Linked DNA regions of Arabidopsis thaliana. The protein of the gene in region 1 interacts with the protein of each later gene in a pairwise test. Each region holds a gene or a part of one and is shown on either strand. Other genes may lie near its edges.

Region 1 (5,357 bases):
AAACAAAAACCCTAGACGGACGAAGCAGAATCCAAAGAGTTTGAGGAAATTCCCAGATCTCGCCTTATCTAACTTCATGTAGAGAGATTAAGAAAAAATTGAGGGTTAGTAGAGAATAAATAAAAAAGAATCAAAACTTAGATCTGGACACAACAGGTAAGAACCCTATGCAAGATACTTATGGAAGTATACATGGGAAGAAATAGAAGAAGATATAGATAGAGGGAAAAAAGAACCGAACTTTAGATCTGGCCACAATCGTTATTTTCTATGCAATTGAAGTATAAAGGGGAAGAAATAGAAGAAGATCGGCGATAAATAAACGAAAATGAATGGAACGTAAGACGTTCAAAATCCTCGATATCGCCGAATCTGCAGTCATGGAACGTAAGACGTTCAAAATTTGGGTTAGTATAGTATAAAAGAGAACAGATCAAAAGACAATATTTACAAACCTCAAGTGTTTTTCAAACAAAACCCACAGCGTCAGCCACAAAAGCCTCCGATATCGCCTAATCTTCTTTCGTGAATAGTAAGAGACAAAAAATGGGTTAGTTGCATGTAAGAAACACAGATAAAGGACGCAATATCTACAAACCTCGTGGGTTATTCAAACAAAGCACATCAATATTTACAAACCTCATGTGTTTTCCAAAAAAGCACAGAAGGATTCCCAAAAAAAAAACAGAGACTTTAGCCGCAAACTCTCGATGGTCGCCTAACTTTCATTCATCAACAGTACACGAAACAAAATTAGGGTTAGTTAACAACGAACCGAACTTTAGATCTAGACACAAGCGATGATTGACATGCAATTAAAGGTATAGGGGAAGAGAAATAAGAAGAGCAACTGTAAATAATCGGAAATCAGTGGTTCTACTTACCCAAATCGTCGGCGAGGGAAGACCAAAAATTAATCCTTCGATTGTCACCGGCGACTGCAACGAGAAGACGATTTGAAAAGGATAATCGGAAACACAATCAATTTCTAGAAACAACTACTACTTGGATCGAAAAGATGAGAGCAACGACGATGAAATTAATCGCCGCCGAGAGAGGTTTTTTCGGTGAGAAAAATTTTTTTTTTTTTTTTTTTTTTTAATTTTAGGGTTATTACTTTGGTCGTGAGACAAACTTGGGCCGAATAATGCAATAGAATTCAAATTTCAAACCCAGAATCATACGCTCCCCAAACAGTGTCTTGTCGCTTTGATGTCTAAGGTTATACATGTAAAATTACATGTGTTTCCGACTTACCCCTGTAGCTCATGGCTATTCTCTTAATTTTTTTTGAATCCATGGCTATTTTATGTAGATACTCATTGAAATATGGTAAAAGAAGGTACAGTAGAAATACTAATTATGTTCATGCTTGAAAGTTGAAACACACAAAAAAAACGAATAACATGTTTTTATGATTTAAATAATGAGTGATGAAAACACACATGAAGGGATTGACAAAAATACTAGTCACTAAATATCCTCATGATACAAAAAAAAAAGAAAAAAAGAAAAATAGTCACTAAATATTCACTTAACTAAAAATCCTCATGATTTGTTCACTTTGGAAAATTCAGCAAAAAAATTTAGTAAGCTTATTGAATGTAAACCAGTAATTTCTGATGAGATTAAAACTGAGTTCTAGTTAAAAGACTTTCGGATGAGGAGGTTAAATTTTCATAATTTGCATCGCATCAAAAAAAAAAAAACATTTTATCAATGGTTGAGTTTCTGCTCATAAATTTTTGGAATGTGAGTAATACAATCATATCAACTATGCTATTCATGAAGCTCTAAAAAACTAATCATGAATCTTATATTGGAAACTCAATAAACTTTTGGTGTGGGATATTTAGTTTCACACATTGTGATCTATAAAAGAGAGGAAGAGATAGATCAAGCAATGGATCTAAAAATGTATAAAACACACACTTTATTCACTACCTTGTATTCAATTAACGTCATTAAAAAGCAAAGCTTTATTCAAATTTGTGACAATACAACTATGGCAACACTACACTAAATACATAATTTCAAAGCAAATTTATAACATAAAGTTTTTCTTCTTTTTTAGGCATTAATATAATAAAGTTGAATCTGGTACCAAAAAGTTACGAAAAAGAAACGCATTAATCTCTTTTTTAAAAAGCATCTGATTAAGTGCCTGCGTCTTCTTCTTCTTTTATCCCTCCAATTCAAAATTCAGGTACGTCGACGACACCACCACCACCACCGACAGAATATTCCGATTTAACCCTCACCGAATATTCCCTCTTCCTCCATGGAAAACGACGTCAAAGAGAATCTCGAAGAAGAGGAAGACCGTCTTCTTCCTCCTCCTCCTCCTTCACAATCTCTCCCATCCACCGATTCCGAATCCGAAGCGGCTTTCGAAACAAACGAAAAGATCCTAATCGTCGATTTCGAATCACCCGACGATCCAACAACCGGAGACACACCACCGCCATTCTCATGGCGGAAGCTCTGGTTATTCACCGGTCCAGGTTTCTTAATGAGTATAGCGTTTTTGGATCCAGGGAATCTAGAAGGAGATCTACAAGCTGGTGCAATCGCTGGCTATTCTCTGTTGTGGCTACTAATGTGGGCAACAGCTATGGGGTTGTTGATTCAGATGTTGTCAGCTAGAGTCGGTGTAGCTACTGGTCGTCATTTAGCTGAGCTTTGTCGTGATGAGTATCCTACTTGGGCTAGGTATGTGCTTTGGTCTATGGCGGAACTTGCTTTGATTGGTGCTGATATTCAAGAGGTTATTGGTAGTGCTATTGCTATTCAGATTCTTAGCCGTGGCTTCTTGCCTCTTTGGGCTGGTGTTGTTATTACTGCTTCCGATTGGTGAGTCCTTTCGATACTCTATTCGTTCTTTAGAGATGTTGGATTCGTAGAATTAGTAGAGACTTGGTTTGGAGAATCTTATGATTCATTCTGAAATTTTAAAACTTTGCGGATCATCTTAGCGGTATTGAGTTTGAGTATGGATCATTCGAACTCACAAATCAGTAGAAACTTGGTTTAGAGATTCATGATTCAATCTGAAGTTGAGAATTTGCTTTTACTTTGGCTGTTTTCTTGTAAAACTTTGCTAAGATGATCCAAACTCACAAATCAGTAGAGAATTGGTTTAACGATTTGTGATCGAATCTGAAATTAAGAAACTTGCTTTTTTGTATTTTGAAAACTTGGCTAATGAATTTGTTGCAAACAGTTTTTTATTTTTGTTTCTAGAGAATTACGGTGTGAGGAAGTTAGAAGCTGTTTTTGCAGTTTTGATCGCAACTATGGGTTTGTCCTTTGCTTGGATGTTTGGTGAAACAAAACCGAGTGGGAAAGAACTTATGATAGGTAAAGATTTCAGATTTTTACTCTTGAATTTCACTTTATTTGCTTTGATTTGAGTGCTTAAAAATCAAATCTTTGTGTTTATGGATAGGTATTTTACTACCGAGACTTAGCTCAAAGACAATTAGGCAAGCTGTAGGTGTTGTTGGCTGTGTTATAATGCCTCACAATGTGTTTTTGCATTCGGCTCTTGTACAATCGAGGAAAATCGATCCGAAGAGGAAATCCCGGGTTCAAGAAGCGCTTAATTACTATTTGATCGAGTCATCCGTCGCACTTTTCATCTCCTTCATGATTAACTTGTTTGTGACTACTGTCTTTGCAAAGGGGTTTTATGGAACTGAGAAAGCTAATAACATTGGCCTAGTTAATGCTGGTCAGTATCTTCAAGAAAAGTTTGGAGGCGGGCTTCTTCCGATTCTTTATATCTGGGGTATCGGGTTGTTAGCAGCCGGACAAAGCAGTACGATAACTGGTACATATGCTGGACAGTTTATAATGGGCGGTTTTCTGAATCTCCGGCTTAAGAAATGGATGAGGGCAGTAATAACAAGAAGCTGTGCTATTGTGCCTACAATGATTGTGGCAATCGTGTTCAATACTTCTGAAGCTTCCTTGGATGTTTTGAATGAATGGCTCAATGTCCTTCAGTCTGTACAAATTCCTTTTGCTCTTCTCCCTCTTCTAACCTTGGTATCCAAAGAAGAAATTATGGGAGACTTCAAGATTGGGCCTATTCTCCAGGTAAATTTCCACTTCTTTTACTACAAGTCTCCATAGGATACCACAATAGGTGAATTAGTGTTGAGTCTTATCGTTTTAGGTGTCTCGACTTTTTTAGTTTCACTGTTTGTGCAATTATCTTAGTAAACATGTAGAATTGAAAGTCCTTCAATGGAATAGAGAAGCATGAAGAGTGAGTATTTGTAAGTTGATTGGATTTATTGATTACATTGCAGAGAATAGCTTGGACTGTGGCTGCACTTGTAATGATCATCAATGGGTATCTTCTGTTGGATTTCTTTGTATCAGAAGTCGACGGGTTTCTGTTTGGAGTTACGGTCTGCGTCTGGACGACTGCTTATATCGCCTTTATAGTGTACCTCATTTCACACAGCAACTTTTTTCCTTCTCCTTGGTCATCCTCTTCCATAGAACTTCCCAAAAGAGTGTCCGTCTCCAATAGCTAGTAGCTGCACAAAAATAACTGCCCTCAAGACCATTTGTTACATGTCAAGAAGATACAGTAAACAAACTTCATCCACTATAGTCTTATACATATTGAAACGCCAAAGTGGTGATAAGAGTTAGCTTAGCTTTTTGTGAATGTTAACATCACAAATATGTAGTGGCAAAGTCTTTGTTGTACTTTTTTGTTTTTGTTAAGAGGATGTGCACATTCCAATATGATTTAAAGAGGCTTTTACATCATAGAAAAAAGCAGAAAACAAATCAATAAAAATCTAATAAACCATTGAAAAAATGGTCAAGCAAAAAAAAAAAAGTTTCTTAACTAGTGTTAGCAAAAATCATTGAACATACGCTAAAAGAGATAATACTCAATACTAATCTGCCATTCTAACAGATATATACAACCCAAAATTCAGGTAACTAACACTTCCAATACATAAGCTTCAAGCTTCTTTTACGCCATTCCTCTAATGGTAATATCTTCAAAGAAAGCAAGAGGTAGCTCCGGTGAAACAGGCATGGTCGCAACGCACTTGTACTGTACCAAGAGAATCAGATATTAGAATGTTCTTGTTGCAATATATCACAAGTTTAAAGTTACATCATTGAATTGTTGAATTTACCTTGTGTTGCTTGTACTTATTTCTAACAGCTTCTAGAGTGTTTCCTCTTCTGCTTAGATACAAGTCATGTATGATACCCACGCACACTTGTAGATCAGCTGCTTTGTACTTTGTGTATTCTTCTAGCATTTGATTCTGTTTGCATCACCAGAAGAGGATTTAGAATATAAAGAACTTTTTCTGTAT
Region 2 (4,231 bases), on another chromosome or scaffold:
GGACCTTAATTCCAGATCTAATGCCGATATAAAAAAACTCGACCTATAATAAATCAGGAAGGTAAAAACTGGGTTAGTTCTTAGGAGAACCCTAATCAAAAACCCTTAATAAATTTCGATTTAGCGCAGCAATGACTCGACACGCTTCCATTAAGCATTTGTGGAAGGCGATCTTAAGGGCTGCGCAACGATTTAAAAAAAAAACGATAAATACGAATAACACGATTTAGAACATAAGCCCTAATATCTAAGAATTGGGGGTTATAATCGAAGATGCATTGTATATATAGTGAAGACTTGTTTTACCCTAGTCGAAGAAGCTTATCCTCGTTTATTGACTATTGGGCTTTAAGCCCATGTTATTTTAAGCCTTATAGGCAAAACAAGACAGAAAACAAAAAGACCAGAATCGCCTTATTCATCAAGTTTTTTTCTTCTTACTTAAACCGAACCGAACCGAACCGAATTGGATTGAGCCATGCCGACACGGAGTTCTGCTCTATAACTTTAATTCGGCACGCAGTCTAAATACAGAGACACTATATGACAAACTCCTCCATCGCCGGTGGTCTGCACAGGGGAGGGGAAACAGCGATTCGAAAATGTCAGGTCGTGAAAGTTACCGTCTTCAGCACCGAGATCCATCTCAGACTTCATATTTTGATGTATTACCAACCTTGTTCATTAATCATAATTGGACATTGTTTCCTTCTATGATGTCGTTTTACATTTCACTCATTGTACTCTTTTCTTTGTATCTTGTTGCTAAAACAGACAACTTCTTAGCAAAATCTATCCTGAAAGAAGTTATTGTCCGTCAAGGTCTGATGTAACTCTCAAGCGATATGTACTGAATTCATGAAGTAATGGAATGTGGGAGTGTACTTTTCACTGAGGTACTCGAGAACTATCATAGATGGCTATACTTGCCATTAGAGTAGTGGCTTCTCAGCTTCTCTTGTTTTCATTCAGGTTTCTGACTCATATAAACCCGATTTCCCGCAACTTGATGCTCAGACAGAGCGTTAGTCTTTTGGAGAGCTTGCAATCATGCTGGAAAGAAGATGTTCTCGTTTTCTCTGCTGCTGGCAAATTTCTTCGCTTGACATTGCAGCTTCGTTCGAGGTTTGTGAAATTTGACTTTAATATTATCATCAATATTGATAGACATATATCTAGTGAAGATAACGTGAAAACTTGCTTGTTTTACCTTAATCGAAGAAGCTTTTTCACGTTTATGGACTTTAGGCCCATATCTTACGACATAATCACTTTGGAATTTTGGATACTTAACCATTTTATGTTAGGCTCGTAACTGACGACATAATCAATTTGGATACTTAACGTACCCAAATTGGGTTTTGAGATATCATTTGTTTCACCTTCTTTTTCTTGTGGAGGAAGTCAAAATAATATGTAACAGTAATGCGGTTTGATGCAAACAGAAATTTAAAAAAGGAAAACGAACAAAACAAATTTGACGAGAAATTGTAAACAAAAACATATTACAGAAACAAGAAATCTGTCACGATCTCAGAATATGTAAAGATAAGATAATAAACTGATTTCAGTTAGTCTTGTCATTATTACCAAATTCCTATAAGGATATTTGCGTTATATCCTTTAGTATAAATGATTTATTTTCTTAACTAATGAAACACAGAATCAAAACGTTTATAGAAACATAAATCTCATTCATCTTCCACACCTCGTCTTTAAGAGACGAGTCCGTTTCTTTTCATCTCCTCTATCACGATTCACCATCACCAAAACACAACCTCTTAAGATAACGTGAAGAAACTATGAGTGACATCCAAGCAAAAGAAGATGCGGCGCCTGTTGATAGACAGTCTTCTTCGTCGGTTGTGGTTCCTGATGAGCCGTCACCTCTAAGAAAGATGATATCAGTGGCTTCTATCGCAGCCGGTATACAGTTTGGTTGGGCTCTTCAGCTTTCTCTCCTAACCCCATACGTTCAGCTTCTCGGAGTCCCACACAAATGGTCATCTTTCATATGGCTATGTGGTCCTATCTCCGGTCTGCTCGTCCAGCCAACCGTCGGTTACTTCAGCGACCGATGCAAGTCAAGATTCGGTCGTCGTCGACCTTTCATCGCCACTGGTGCCTTGCTTGTTGCCCTTGCTGTTATACTAATTGGATTTGCGGCTGACTTCGGCCACACCATGGGAGATAAACTCGACGAAGCTGTCAAGATAAGAGCCGTTGGTTTCTTCGTTGTCGGTTTCTGGATCCTTGACGTGGCTAACAACACTCTTCAAGGACCTTGCCGTGCTTTTCTTGGTGATTTAGCAGCCGGAGATGCTAAGAAAACTCGAACTGCCAACGCGATTTTCTCTTTCTTCATGGCCGTTGGAAACGTTTTGGGATACGCTGCGGGATCGTACACTAACCTCCACAAGATTTTCCCTTTCACAGTGACTAAAGCATGCGACATCTATTGTGCAAATCTCAAGAGCTGTTTCATTATTTCCATCACTCTCCTCATAGTCCTCACAATCATAGCTCTTTGGTACGTGGAAGACAAGCAATGGTCGCCTAATGCAGATTCCGACAATGAGAAAACTCCCTTCTTTGGCGAGATCTTTGGAGCTTTCAAGGTGATGAAACGTCCAATGTGGATGCTTCTAGCCGTCACGGCCTTGAACTGGATCGCATGGTTTCCTTTTCTTTTATACGATACCGATTGGATGGGTCGTGAAGTGTATGGTGGAGACTCAGCAGGAGATGACAAAATGAAGAAACTATACAACCACGGAATCCAAGTTGGTTCGTTGGGGTTGATGCTTAACTCTATCGTTCTTGGAGTCATGTCCCTTGTTATTGGAGTGATTAGTAAGAAAATTGGAGCTAAAAGGCTTTGGGGAGCTGTGAACATAATCCTCGCGGTGTGTTTGGCAATGACAGTTTTGGTTACTAAAAAGGCTGAGGAGCACCGGAAGATCGCTGGTCGGATGGCCCTTCCTACCAATGCCATCAGAGATGGAGCATTGAGTCTCTTTGCTATTCTTGGAATTCCTCTTGCTGTAAGTCCACCATGTCTTTTACCAATTTTTGTTACTATTATCCATGAATTATTATTTTGTTTAACAATATTAATCCATTTTTTGCTATATTTTATAGATTACATTTAGTATTCCATTTGCATTAGCTTCCATTATTTCAAGCAGTTCCGGTGCCGGTCAAGGTATTTAATTTTAACCTCTCCTTTTGTTTCTAATTTGAACCTACATTCTCATAGTAATGCTAATTAAAATGTGTGAACACAAAAAACGGTAATGGAGAGATCAGTTTCCAATTATAAGAAAAACGATCGAGTATATATTTTCACATAGGGTGATGTATGTTATGTACTAATTTATTGGTTAATTGATATTTTTATACAATCTGTTTACATCTTCAATTATTAGTTGGTTTTCATTCACCATATAAAATTTGTCATAAATGTATCAATAAGATACATAATCGTTCTGTTTAAGATTATTATTAAAGCGTTTATCAGATTAATAAGGATAGTGATAACATTTTTTGTCATTTTTTCAGGACTCTCTCTAGGAGTTTTAAACATGGCAATAGTGATACCACAAATGATTGTATCGTTTGGAGTTGGTCCAATTGATGCGTTATTTGGAGGTGGAAACTTACCTGGATTTGTGGTTGGAGCTATAGCAGCTCTAATCAGCAGTGTTGTGGCACTTACCGTTTTACCTTAATTTTTTTTTTTTTTTTATTGTTATGTGCTTCTTTTTTATTGTTATGTATCCACATGTTTAATATTAATGTAGCATGTGGCATATTTATTTACATTATTTAATTAAAGTTTTAATTTTAAAAAGTTCTTCTTGTTTTTGTTTAACTTCTATATCTATGTCAACATCAATCTGCGTAAATTAAAGTATTTTAAACTTCTAGGTAAATAACAAAAAAAAAAATTAATATTATGCATAGGAATTGTAAATCTAACATTTTTACCTTTATATGACAATTCATTCATGATACATTTTATTTTGTAGAAACAATGAAATATTCAAAAAAACATAATACACTTTAAAAAAGTATAAAATAAAATAAAATGAAATCAAAGACCAAAAAAATAAATTTAGTCTAAACAAAGACGACGGGGCAGGTGGGAAGACTCGAGTAGACACATGGATGAGTGTGGTAGCAAAAAGCTTACCGGCCGCGGTTTAGCGAAGAAAGAAATGAAGGCCTA
Region 3 (6,706 bases), 4.9 Mb from region 1:
GAACTCATCAGGCAGCAACTATGACGATCTTACACCACATAGATTCCCGTCAATGGAGAAACCGCAGTTTGATCATCAGAACTCATCAGTCAGCAGCTATGGCGATCTGCCAGAGCTCCAAAGGCCAGAGACTTCACCACTTGACAGACTCAGCCCTGACCAGGACCATCAGCAAATGAGACTGCCTTCAATGGAAGATGATCCCTATTACTCATACCCTAATCTCTTCACATCGCAGAAGCATGATCCCTCATCTGGCTCTCATTCGTTCTCAGACAATACAAGACCCGCCCATGATTCGTGATTCTTACCTGCATATGTTATAATGCAAGCTTGGTGTTTTTCAGTGTGTTTCACTTGTGCTGTTCCTTCTCTTGCGGAACAAAGAGCTCAAAATGTTTTTTGGAATAGCCTTTTCTTCCTCTTTATCCAGTGGAAGACATATGTAATGTATAGAACTTGGTGTTTGTGATTATGTTTAATTTAAAGGCCTTGGTTTTCACAAGAAATGAATGAAGAATGCTGATAGATGGAATAAGATTTGATTAGAGACTACATTATTTTTCTACCAAAGAAATAAAGAATACAGAGAAGTGATTCTCTTAATATTTCTCTGTTCTTTCTCTTTTCTGTTAGGCAAATTACAATGTCGTTTATCTTGGACCAGACAACTCCATAGCATGAAGATTATCAGTCGAATCAAGGATCCAGTCAGAGGTGGGGTGAGAAGAGAGCTCCACTTCTTGCCTGAGAACTTCCACTTTCTGCCACTCGTCCCATTTCTCCGCTAAACCGTCACCTTCAAGCATTCGAACAACCTCAGACATCTTAGGTCGTTCCATAGGTGAGCTCTGTGTGCAGAGAAGAGCCACTTGTATGAGCTGTTCTACTTCTGCTTCTGTGTAATTGCTTTGCAGGTCAGGATCCACAAGCATCTCCAGCTTCTTCTCCTTCAAAAGCCCTTTCACCTGAGAAGACCAAATGAACAGATAAATCAGCTTTTTGAGAGATAGCCAGATATGTGCTAAAAGATCTGTGTTATACCCAATCTAGGAGCATAACGTCATCGTCATTCGCCAGTCTTGCAAGATCAAAAGCTCTCTGACCTGTAATCAGTTCCAAAAGCATGATCCCGTAGCCAAAAACATCAGTTTTCTCTGAAGATTTTCCAGTTGAGAGATACTCAGGAGCAATGTGTCCAATAGTCCCACGCACAGCCGTTGTGACATGAGTATCTTTATAGTCCATAAGTCTAGCTAACCCGAAATCACCTACCACCGCCTCAAATTCCTCGTCCAACAGAATATTAGCAGCTTTCACATCACGGTGAATAATTTTGGGGTCGCAATGATCATGAAGATAAGACAAACCCCTCGCTGATCCTAGCGCGATTTGCTGTCTTATTGACCAGGCTAGAGGCAACTGTGATGGTGGACGTTCTGTAATCATTTCAAGAAAGCTCACTCAATTGTATTGGAAAGTTTTAAAAATGGATAAGATCAAAAACAACACTTATACATCATTGTGGGAGTCTTTCTACTTTATGATACAAACAGTTAAAATTCCAAGGTTACCTCTCAAACAGGAAGCGACACTTCCATTAGCCATGTAAGGATAAACAAGCAATCTCTCGGTAGGGGTCATACAGAAACCGCGTAGCCTGAGGAGATTTCTGTGAACGGCCATGCTTATCATCTCCACTTCTGTCTGAAACTGGAGCTCGCCACCTGGGGTTCGCTCTTCTTTAAGCCGTTTGACTGCAACAAGTGTTCCATCAGCAAGACGGCCTTTGTAGACTTTTCCGAACCCACCTCGGCCCAAAATGTTCTTGTTGCTGAAGCTATCAGTTGCTACTTGAAGTTCCCGTAGAGAGAACCGCTTAAGCTGCCCCAAGTGAACCTCAGGGTCCTCTTCGGCTGCATCACAGAACTGAAAAATTAAGTACTAAATACTAATCCAATTCTGAAATGAAACAAAGCTTGGATATTGCAGACTCAGTGACTTACCAGGAACATCAAAGAAGAATTCTTGAGGTTTTCTTCTACGCCACCAAGCAAAAGCTAAAGCAGGGGCAGCAAATAGTAAAGCAGCACCAGCAGCAACTCCTCCCGCAATGGCTCCAGTAGCACTATACCCACCTTAAATTTTATTTTTACCAAAATAGTTAACTACCAGTGAAGTTGATCACAAGCTTCTTAAACTGTGAGATAGACTTTTTTCCAGTCAAAATCCAGTAAAAAACTCTATAACAACCATCCAATATGTTTTTCCAAGCATGAGTGAAGGTAAAAGATCTAAATTTTACTGTCTGCTTCATTTCATTACCTGGTGTAGGAACTATGGGAGGTGGTATAAAAGGTGGTGGAGGAGAAAACGGGGGAGATCCAGGACAAGGACGGCTAGTAACTGGGCCGCATAGATCCAAGTTGTTAGCAAAACTGTGCAGAAGAACAATGGTCAACTGCTGATAATTTCCATATCCACCAATTAAAGTAATAGAATTTGGAAAATGTAGTATGTCTATTGAGTAAATTTACTTAAGAGTTAAGATGATCAAAAGAAACTTAGGTTCAGACTTTAAATTTTATTGCCACTTGTGCTTAATCTTAACTTATAGCCTCAGTTCCCATAATGCGAGTAACTAATGTTTGCATAGTATGGATTCAATCAAACCTGATGGGAGTGAAGAGCGAGAAGGAACCATTATCAGGAACAGATCCGGATAATCGGTTGTTCGACAGATCCCTGCAGTTTGCAAGATAATAAGGAAAACTCAGGTGATCCATTAAGAGTGAGAAGTTCAGAAGAGCAGAAAGTAAAATTGAAAAGTAATACTCACAAAACTTGAAGGGTCATGATATTAGTCAATGACATGGGAATTGGTCCGGTGAGACTGTTATTGTTGAGCCGACTATCCTTGCAACAAAAACTCAGACCACATTACCATCTTCCCATACCAGAGTTCAATCAAACAAGTTTATTCAGTGTTTTGAAAGACAAAGCCAATTTCTTTTACTTCTATTCAAATGTCCAACAAGTAATAACATTTAGCCAAAAGAGAATTTAATCCTCAGTAAATTTCTAATATAGCAAAACATTTAGCCAGTGCATGATGAGAAGAGCAGACTAAGTGTTCTTACAGAAAGCGAAGCTTGAATAGCTTTCCTAGAGAATCTGGAATTGGACCAGTGAAGCTGTTCAAGTAAAGATCCAAGCTCACTAAGTTTGTCAGATTCCCAAGATCGCTTGGAACCGGCCCGGTTATGTTATTACTATAAAGCTCCCTGCCATTAAGAGTATCACACCCTCAGAAGAAAATTAACAATGTACAATGACAAATGGGTATTGAATAAGTCCTAATAAAATGAAAAAACAAGATTCAGTGTAATCGCCATATTCGCCTATATCATGTATGAGAAACTACAAGTCTCTAGAAATAAAGTAGTTATGCTACACATAGTCAATGCCATCAACTTTTCGTTTATCTACAGAGTAACGATTCATCTTCCATTTAGATATCAAAGCAAAAACTTACAAGTACTGCAAGTTCTTGAGCTGACCTAGCTGAGGAACCAACTGACCAGACAAGTCTGCATTCCCAAGATCGCTGAAGAAGCAACAACAAACAGAGATTAAATAAGCTAAACAAAGAACATTGGTCAGGTCAGGTATAAGCAGAGAGACACTCACACTCTTATAACACTGTTCTCGTTGTTACACGTTACGTGAAACCAAGTACACGGATTAACAAGCGTAGGATCCCAGCTTTGCAAGACATTATTTGGATCAACTAGATTAGCTCTCAAACTGTGCAGTGCATCACCTGTTAATATACCAAACAAAAGCCTAAGCCTTTCGCAAAGAGGAAATACTTACCAAACAAATCAAACATGAAACAACCAAACAGTTTGCATTGAATACTTCTTCAGTTCCTCATTCTTAATGTGTTTGCTAGTGACATAAATACAGTTTCTTTTACATGTCGTTATCAGAGAAATAGCATTGAATCAAACAGTAAATCAATTGTGATTTTTCTAAAGGAGCCTAACCATAGATTATGAACAAAATTCTCTATAGAAATTGAAGCTTTCAAACAGAATCAGATTCTTAAAAAGTCCTTTTTGAAGAACAGAGACAGTGCCAGATGGAAATTTCAATTCTCATGTACCAACTAAAACAGGCAAAAGTAGTCACATAAATAATAAAGAAAGATAAGAGAAGAGTAACAAACCTTCCATGTTAGAAGAGGCAAGCCATAACGAATTAAACAGAAGAAGCAGTGAGATTAAGCAGACAAAACCAAAAGCTTCAAACTTTTTTCTCCCCATTTACCAAAAAAAAGCAAATTTCTCCTCCCAGATCCTCCAAGAGGGTAAAAAAAAAAAAACTTGAGAAATCAAACACAAACCATGATCTCTCCAAAGTTGAGAGCTTTGAGATAGAGATAGAGAAAGAGAGAGAGAAGTTTACACTTGATGATGATTTTACTCTCATTAATGACAACCGAGAAAAATGCCAAAGGGGAAACACAAGTGGTAACAGCTACAAACAGAGAAGTGAAAAAGGTGTGAGATTTTTCAAAACTTTGCGTTGCTTTTTCAGAGCAAAAAAGGTTTTTGGGACTTTCTTTCTCATTCTTAATGAATGAGTTTTTGTGTTCTGTGGTTATCTTTCAACAGCCGTCTCTCTCTCTCTCTCTCTAAAAGCCTACTCTACTCACTAGTCACTACAAAAGTGATGGGCTCAAGTTTAGTCTCTCTCTCTCTTAAATTCTTAATGGAGCGTGATTGGTACCAGTGGAGAGAGAGAGGAAGAGAGAAACAACAAAACGCTACCTTTGAAATCTTAAGTACAATCACATTTTTTTTGTTTTAAATCTTTTCTTTCTTTGTCAACTTGTAAATTATTATCACAATTCACAACTTATGGAAAAGAGAAAATTAGATACACAACTTTTGTTTACAAAAAAGGAATAGAAACTTTATTTACAATTTCTTGGCAAAACTCCATGTTTATAGACAAAAAAGTAATTTTTGTTTATTTGTTTTGGTAGCTCATTATTTAATTTAATTTGCTTCTTTTAATTTTTAATCGAATAACTTACAAAAAAAATTCATACTGTGTTATTGTTCTTTACGGATATATATTATAACTAGATTTTAACCCGCAGTATACTGCGGAGACAAATTATTTTTTAAAATTAATATATATAAAAGTTTGCAAATTATATCTATCTATAAAACATTTTTATTTTATAGTTTACAATTGTTATTAAGTAAAGTTCTTCCAAACCCGTCTTGCCAAACCCGTTCCGTAAAAAAACCTGTAGTACACCGCTAATTTAAATAAATATTTTACGGGATTGCAATTGTATTTTAGTTTGTCAAACAAATTTTTGTTTTAAATAGTTGCCGAAATCTAGTTCAAATTTTGGAGAAATAAGATTTAGTGAATTGTAAAAAATGTATTTAGGTGCGTTTTGCTCATTTTAAGGGATTGCAATTGTATTTTAGTTTGTCAAACATTTTTTGTTTTAAATAGTTGCCAAAATCTAGTTTAAATTTTGGAGAAATCTGCGTGATATATAGGATTGAAATATATTTCGAATGTTTTTCGTTTGTTAATCAATTTATTACCAAAAAAAAAAACCCAATAATTAAAAGCCAATGGCAACCAATGTAAATAAGTATACATAAATGGCTGCAAAAATGTATATGTAGATAAGTTTTCAAAATTGTTAACTCACGTGAACACAACACATACCAATATTTGTCGAACAAATATTGACATGTGTGTTTTTTCTTCTTTAAAAATTCAAAAAACTAAAAAAAAACATAGTTACAAATACTAATTTATAATTCTACATCAAAATAATTTGAACTTTTATTTTTGGTCAATTATGTACTCATTCTCTGGATTCTTGTAAATAAACGTATAATCTAAACTTCTGAATCATAAACCATAGGAAAAAGGAAAACAAAAACAAAATTAATCCAAGGTGGCTGCTATATAAGAAAGGTGCAGAGATTGTGAATTCAACAAAACAGTAGCTAGTATTGTCGATGAACTTATATTGTCTTATGAGCAGAGATTTTTGTTTGGACACCTGAAGATGTCACATCGGAGAAAGAAGTCACATAATGCCAAAGTTTACCAGCCATAGTCACTACCTCTGCTATTAAAGCTGGAGGTATAGATTTACAAGCAAACCCCGGTGCCACATTAAACACAGCAAAACTCGTGAGTGACACTGCACCAAGTCTTTGAAGCTCTATGCAGTATATATCCCTAGAATTTCTTGGTGATGGATGAAATGTATTGATGAAATGCTTGCAGCCATGCGCCAAGGAGATCTTTAATTGACCTCTCCACCAACGGACGCCGAGAAGATATCATACATAAACCCCTAATTACTACATCTACTAAAAGCATCGACACAAACAAATCTGATCTAACTTCTGAGCTCTTTCTCACCGGCCGGAGAGAAACACCGGTTCAAGGTTATTATCAATCGACTCTTTCACAGCATCAACAAGCAACTGCGTATTCCGGCTAAACCTCATCCAAAACCCATCCGGTTTAGCTCCTCTGTTTTTGATTTCTCCAACCAACCGAGCAAATTCCATAACCATACACGCCTCTTGTGAAAGCTCAGTCATTACTTTATGTTCACTAACACAACCTCCACCACTTGTAGTAAACACAG

The links.
Region 2: the proteins of NRAMP2 (region 1) and SUC9 interact in a protein complementation assay, tested with the Arabidopsis thaliana proteins (one large-scale study listed by BioGRID).
Region 3: the proteins of NRAMP2 (region 1) and SERK2 interact in a protein complementation assay, tested with the Arabidopsis thaliana proteins (one large-scale study listed by BioGRID).

What each region holds. Positions count from the first base shown.
Region 1 is NC_003070.9:17,308,233-17,313,589, reverse strand, and holds NRAMP2 (NRAMP metal ion transporter 2), read left to right. Parts: upstream 1-2,084; 5' UTR 2,085-2,281; coding exon 2,282-2,853; intron 2,854-3,223; coding exon 3,224-3,360; intron 3,361-3,448; coding exon 3,449-4,101; intron 4,102-4,316; coding exon 4,317-4,547; 3' UTR 4,548-4,787; downstream 4,788-5,357. Other genes in the region: CYCA3;4 (CYCLIN A3;4), read right to left, coding at 5,003-5,086, 5,172-5,306. UniProt on the Arabidopsis thaliana protein: Seems to be involved in iron uptake.
Region 2 is NC_003076.8:1,867,989-1,872,219, forward strand, and holds SUC9 (sucrose-proton symporter 9), read left to right. Parts: upstream 1-1,802; coding exon 1,803-3,044; intron 3,045-3,141; coding exon 3,142-3,205; intron 3,206-3,561; coding exon 3,562-3,731; downstream 3,732-4,231. UniProt on the Arabidopsis thaliana protein: High-affinity sucrose transporter. Responsible for the transport of sucrose into the cell, with the concomitant uptake of protons (symport system).
Region 3 is NC_003070.9:12,456,700-12,463,405, reverse strand, and holds SERK2 (somatic embryogenesis receptor-like kinase 2), read right to left. Parts: upstream 4,843-6,706; 5' UTR 4,329-4,842; coding exon 4,232-4,328; intron 3,824-4,231; coding exon 3,691-3,823; intron 3,608-3,690; coding exon 3,536-3,607; intron 3,285-3,535; coding exon 3,141-3,284; intron 2,912-3,140; coding exon 2,840-2,911; intron 2,746-2,839; coding exon 2,674-2,745; intron 2,439-2,673; coding exon 2,326-2,438; intron 2,139-2,325; coding exon 2,007-2,138; intron 1,917-2,006; coding exon 1,575-1,916; intron 1,440-1,574; coding exon 1,045-1,439; intron 969-1,044; coding exon 654-968; 3' UTR 501-653; downstream 1-500. Other genes in the region: AT1G34220 (Regulator of Vps4 activity in the MVB pathway protein), read left to right, coding at 1-304; AT1G34200 (Glyceraldehyde-3-phosphate dehydrogenase-like family protein), read right to left, coding at 6,471-6,706. UniProt on the Arabidopsis thaliana protein: Serine/threonine-kinase involved in brassinosteroid-dependent and -independent signaling pathways. Acts redundantly with SERK1 as a control point for sporophytic development controlling male gametophyte production. Serves as coreceptor to small peptide (e.g.